Linked DNA regions of Mus musculus: region 2 is reported to be linked to region 1. Evidence: microRNA targets listed by miRTarBase, many of them from high-throughput screens and not tested one by one. Region 1 holds a microRNA gene; the other region holds the end of a gene's coding sequence.
What was found. The annotated mature microRNA mmu-miR-19b-3p reads UGUGCAAAUCCAUGCAAAACUGA and lies in region 1 at 1,190-1,212, shown strand. An mRNA with a match to its seed (bases 2 to 7 or 8) in the 3' UTR can be bound and repressed. Matches are read on the target gene's strand: a 7mer-m8 pairs with bases 2 to 8, a 7mer-A1 pairs with bases 2 to 7 and ends in A, and an 8mer does both.

Region 1 (3,154 bases):
TAAATGTTTAAACAGAAGTAGAGCCCTTTGAAATAGATGAAAATGTGACATCTCTAGGCCATCTGTGCGGTATGTGAAGAGTGTAAAACTGTTTCTTAAAGCGGCTCTGAAATTTCTATCATTTTCTCTTAATGGGCTGGGGGCAGGGATGCTTCATGTAATCAAACATAGAGACCTTCCGAGTGGCTCCCCAAAGCTCTGGATGAGCTCAAGACGTCAGTACTCACCCTAATGTTATTTATTTATTTTTTTGCTTACATCTTTTCCTGGGCTCTTGCCTCTTAGAAAACCATGGTGGATATTACAGCTCTGCAAATTTTCTGGGATGCGAATCTCAAATTTCCTTAGACGGAGAGGGAGTCCAAAATCCTCTTACTCTTAAGAGTCAGACATTCTGAGATTGCCAGTGTTATTCATGTTTAAGTCTGTGTAAATAATTGAGCTTATTAATGTTTGAAGTAACACAACCCCATTTGCACTCTTAACGGAAGGCAAACTTGTTTTAGAAATAGTAACTCACAGTTCACTTACTTGCTGTGTGTGTGTGTGTGTGTTTATCCAGGTGAGTCTGCAGATCTGGCAAAGAAGAGTTCGTGGAAGACTTCAAGGTTACACTCCTGGAGTATGCCTTGGCCATGTCAAAGTGCTAACAGTGCAGGTAGCTTTTTGAGTTCTACTGCAGTGCCAGCACTTCTTACATTACCATGGTGATTTAATCAGAGGCCGCTGAGTCCCCTGGTTTCTGCATAGTTAGATTGTGGATGTTTTTGAGCTGCTCCTTGTAATGTGTCTCTTGTGTTAAGGTGCATCTAGTGCTGTTAGTGAAGCAGCTTACAATCTACTGCCCTAAATGCCCCTTCTCGCACAGGCTACTTCTTACCTTGCATTTGAAAAGCATATCTTGAGAAATGATTTGAACGGCACAAGTTTCAAAGGCTCTTTCAGTGTTTCGCCGAGAAACAGATGGCGGAGACTGTAGTATACAGTTGTGTAGAAGAACAAGCTCGGATCCTAGTAGTGCCAAAGTGCTCATAGTGCAGGTAGTTTTTATACCACTCTACTGCAGTGTGAGCACTTCTAGTACTCCTGGATCAACCAAGGTCTTGTTGAAGCAACTACAGCGCAAGGACATTGCTACTTACGATTAGTTTTGCAGATTTGCAGTTCAGCGTATATGTGAATATATGGCTGTGCAAATCCATGCAAAACTGATTGTGGGAATGTGTACCTTTCTGCATCGTAATGGACACCTTTATGCACATCTTCAGCATCCATGCCCATTCATCCACAGGTGGGGATTGGTGGCATTACTTGTGTTAGATATAAAGTATTGCACTTGTCCCGGCCTGAGGAAGAAAGAGGGTTTTTAATCGTCTTTTAGTTTCTGAGTATTGTAAGTTATGTTAGACTGTAATTATGAAATGAACTGTTTTGCTGTTATCAGGTGGAACACGATGCAATTTTGGTTGGTGTAATAGGAGGAAAATTGCACGGTATCCATCTGTAAACCGCAGGACCTATGTGGACAGCCGTCTATCAGTGCTATAGTAAGATTGTAAAATCCTTTAGCTAGTCATTGCTTTGAACACATTTGGAGTGGATTTTTTTTTTTTTTTTTTGGTTTTTCAAGACAGAGTTTCTCTGTATAGCCCTGGCTGTCCTGGAACTCACTCAGGGTGGCCTCGAACTCAGAAATCTGCCTGCCTCTGCCTCCCAAGTGCTGGGATCAAAGGCGTGCGCCACCACGCCCAGCTTGGAGTCTAATTTTTTAAAACTACATATTTTTAAATATATTTGAAATCCTGACATTTTGATTGCACTGAATGTAAACAAACCTGAAATTTGCAAAATAAAGCTGATATATAAGTCTGAAAAAAAATGGGTTTCTTTTTTCTTTTTTAAAAGATTCTATTTATTTATTTATTTATTTATTTATTATATGACAAGTACACTGTAGCTGTCTCCATAGACACCAGAAGGTGGCATCAGACCCCATTCCAGATGGTTGTGAGCCACCATGTGGTTGCTGGGATTTGAACTCAGTACCGCTGGAAGAGCAGTCAGTGCTCTTAACCACTGAGCCATCTCTCCAGCCTGGGGCTCTCTTTTTTTTCTCTCTTTTTTTTTATTAGGTATTTTCCTCGTTTACATTTCCAATGCTATCCCAAAAGTCCCCCATACCCACCCACCCCCACTCCCCTACCCACCCACTCCCCCTTTTTGGCCCTGGCGTTCCCCTGTACTGGGGCATATAAAGTTTGCAAGTCCAAAGGGCCTCTCTTTCCAGTGATGGCTGACTAGGCCATCTTTTGATACATATGCAGCTAGAGACAAGAGCTCCGGGGTACTGGTTAGTTCATATTGTTGTTCCACCTATAGGGTTGCAGATCCCTTTAGCTCCTTGGGTACTTTCTCTAGCTCCTCCATTGGGGACCCTGTGATCCATCCAATAGCTGACTGTGATCATCCACTTCTGTGTTTGCTAGGCCCCAGCATAGTCTCACAAGAGACAGCTATATCTGGGTCCTTTCAGGAAAATCTTGCTAGTGTATGCAATGGTGTCAGCGTTTGGAAGCTGATTATGGGATGGATCCCTGGATATGGCAATGGCTCTCTTTTTAAATTAGCAATACTATTGGCTTTTCTAAAATAGCGTCTTGGTATGTAGCTCTGGTTAGCTTGGAACTCAATTTGTAAACTAGGCTAGCCTTGAACTTGCGGAGATCTGTGTGTTTCTGCTTCTAGAATGCTGAGATTAAAGGTAGGCACCCCTCCACTCCTAGACTTCCAGCATTTACATACATTTATCTATCTATCTATCTATCTATCTATCTATCTATCTATCTATCTATCTATCTACTTATTTAGTGTGTGTGTCATGTGGTGATTTGAGAACAACTGTAGGGAGCTAGTCATGTGGGTCATGGACATACATCTTAGATTTCTTAGGCCCGATGGCAAGTGCCCTTCCCCCACTGAGCTGAAAACAAATTTTATAGGGTATGTCTTGAAGGAACATTTGAATATAACTGGAATTTAAGTTTGCGTTGAGTCTTTGGTTTTATCACTACTGAAAACCCTGCCAGTCCCATCTCCAGAGAGTGACTGTCATCAGGTGAGCCCTCAGGATTTGCCTTTGTAACCCAGTCTCAGG
Region 2 (3,080 bases), not on the chromosome of region 1:
AGCATATTTATGAATATTTCTAATTGTAGGGTACAATAACAGCTAATTTATTCTGTGGATGTGTTATTTAACTTTTATAGAGATATTATTGTCTTTTTTTTGTTTTTGTTTTGCCTATGAAGAATAATGGGTTAACACAGTCTTCTAATATGCTAGCTACAATTTGATAATTCCCAATTCTGAGAACAGTGCCAACTAGGACAAGTCCTACCACTTTAAGAGTGTCTGGATACATTTAAAACTGTTATTTGAGAAGTTGGCTGCCTTAGCATCAACAGCAAACAACGTTTATTAGAAATAGTTAAAGAGGTATATTTTATTTGAAATCTCTTCTGCCTAGTAATATGGCATATGGTGGCAAAGTGTCTCAAACCAAAGGAGCACTAATGTGGCCTATAAATGTATTTTTGAAAGAAAGGCAGCTCTCTCTTAACAGGCCCCTGTGACAACTCTTAGGGAATGCTCTGACGAAGCGAAATGTGATTTTAAAAATGTATTAGCATGCTCTGTTTTCCTTATGATGAAAAAATACAAACGAGTAAAAGCAGTTTGCAAAAATTAAATATATACTGTATTCATGACAAATAAGTACAAACTAATAATTCCAGTCAAAAATTTTAGTCATTCTTTTTTTCTGGCCCAATTATGATATACAAATAAATATTCCATATATCTTTTCCAGGTTTCTGTAATTTGTTTTCTCCTAGAACATTTTCCCATATCCAGGACTTATCTTTAACACAATAGCAGAACATGAGTGTCATTGTTCTTGAGGGTCCCAACAGTAAACACAGCTTCACAAACAGGCGTGTAACTGTTCTTACAAAACACCTATGAAGACGATGTATGTAACCCGTATAAAATGTAAAGTTACCCACATCCCACAACAGGAAGCCCATGATACCTATAAAGAAATTCTCAAAGCAGTGTTCAGGTAATGCCTGTAAACCCCTCAGGCTGGCAAATTAAATGTTAAGCTAATGGTCTTACCCACCTCAATTCCACTTCACTGTACATGTGTCTGATTAGTTGTGGTCACAAGTCAAGGGACAAACAACAACACGGAACAGTCCCCAAAGCAATCGAAATGAAGGAAATCCTTTTCATCAGATTAAGGAGACCCGTCAGTGATGACATGCAGTTTCTGAGAGACCATACAAAATTTTTTCTTGATATTAATAAGAAAATTATACATCAGTGAAAATGCAGGCTTAGAAATATAGTACTGAGAGTTTCAATGTATGGTACCTTCACTGATGTGAGAAAATGGAACTCTTACTATGAAAGAGAGCTGATCTCTCCGGCATTGCTGATGGCTCCCTAACCAAGCTCAGTGTTTAATGATGCTGTACAAATAAGAAGCAGTGGGGGAAATACGAAATATCAGTAATAAATGCCATCCTGTAAAGTAGTTGATGGATGGAAGAGAGTCTAATGCATTTTAAATAAATGCATATCATACTATCACATAGAGTGAGTCTTACAAAATTATTACTTAGATGCACAGTCCTTGCAGTGGTTGACATGGCAACTGTGAAGGAAGTCTGATTTAAAAGCTACTTCTATTGTAGTCGTCAACTGATGGAGCTGCTGTTAGTCATATTGTAGTGTCCCTTCGCCTTTGGTACTTTCAGTGCAAAATATTTTGGGGATTTTTTTAAACTTTTATAAGAATAAAAGGCCCTTTAGTTCCCTTGAGCGTGCTTAAAAGGGTACATACTAACAAGATGCCCGAGTAAGCATGGAACATGAAGATGGAGAGGTGGTACATACAATATGGTAGGTAGGTCCTTATATACATCTTAAAGAACAGAAATATGATGAACCTATAAAAAATAAACAGAATTCACTGTGTACATTTTCCCGATATGCTGTGATTAATTGCTAGATATTTTAAAATTGTTTTCATGCATTATAAAGCATAAAATCGGTCATTAGTGATTCATTGAGTAAGTTTGTCTTCAGCCATAATTACACACATACCACTTGCATATACATTGTCACAGACCACCTTATCTTTAAAGTTATCGCATAATGACTTGGTTTCCTTTTTCACACTTGTCCTGTGAAGGTTGAAACCTATAGTGCACACCATGCAGGCACTCATAAGCAAGAAATAAATATTCTGCTATAACTTAGGGCTTAAACAAATGTACTTTCAGGAAATATATATTTTTTTAATGATTTCATTTCACTTGCGCTAATTTAGAGATTGGGTCAGTGCTGCCAGTTTGGCTTGAAGTGTTATGTATGGGAGAGTTTCAAGATTCTCCTGAGTCCCTAAAAGTCACCATGGAGTTTATCATGTGCAGGTTCTTCTTTTATCTTGGAACATGGGACCAAATGGGAAAGGTTTGGCAGTCAAGAACTGTTGACTGAAAGACTGTTGGGTTGTTCCATGGGCACCAAGCTCACCCCAATCCTTCCAAAAGAACTCACAGCCAGTCCCCAAACACAGGAGCATGTGTTCCCGGAAAGCAGCACTCAGTTTGTTATAATGGAAGCCAAGGCTTGAGGCTACCAATGCTGTGTCCACTTTTCGGGAGGCCAGCTTCTAGAACCGCCTGGCCATGAAGAGCTGAGCATCATGCTTCCAGGTCACTCAAGTCCAAAGGTACTGGTCTCTTCAACTGCTGTCAAGAGTTTTTCATAAAGCATGGAAAAGGAAGGGTATGGAGGCAGATCCAGGCGGTTAAAACAAGTGTGGGCTCTGCAAATAGAAAAAGCACATCATTTAGCAGAGGGGCTGAGCAAACAAAGTCCATGCTCCTGTGCGCGTGCATGCGTGCGTGCGTGCGTGCGTGCATGCTTGAGTGTGCGCATGCTCGCGCACATGTGTGCATGTACTAAGAGTGTGTCTCTTTCATATTCAAATTTATTTGTTACCATTTTCACGGCTACTTGGGAAAAAGTGAAGATATTTCAACTTAGTAGCCCCTGTGACCCAGTCCCCAGTTAACTGCGATTGGTAAATAAAAATGCCAACAGCCAACAGCTGGCCAGAAGAGACAGAGGTGGGATTGAAGTTTTGAGGGCTTGGCTCAGAAAGGACCATGAGGAGGGTAGGAGGAAGGAAGAAG

Region 2: the mRNA of Hecw2 is a reported target of mmu-miR-19b-3p. Seed matches in the 3' UTR shown: 7mer-m8 at 1,634-1,640.

The regions. Positions count from the first base shown.
Region 1 is chrX:52,740,049-52,743,202 of GRCm38, reverse strand. Mir19b-2 (microRNA 19b-2) reads left to right here and starts at 1,137; the gene lies at 1,137-1,220. It overlaps Mir363 (microRNA 363), which reads left to right and starts at 1,436; the gene lies at 1,436-1,510. It overlaps Mir92-2 (microRNA 92-2), which reads left to right and starts at 1,275; the gene lies at 1,275-1,365. It overlaps Mir20b (microRNA 20b), which reads left to right and starts at 1,011; the gene lies at 1,011-1,090. It also overlaps Mir18b, Mir106a and Kis2.
Region 2 is chr1:53,810,624-53,813,703 of GRCm38, forward strand. It overlaps Hecw2 (HECT, C2 and WW domain containing E3 ubiquitin protein ligase 2), which reads right to left. Exons shown (of 29, transcript NM_001001883.3): 29 at 1-2,710. The coding sequence ends at 2,599. Among named protein-coding and RNA genes, the nearest start is that of Stk17b, 27 kb to the left of the region's middle.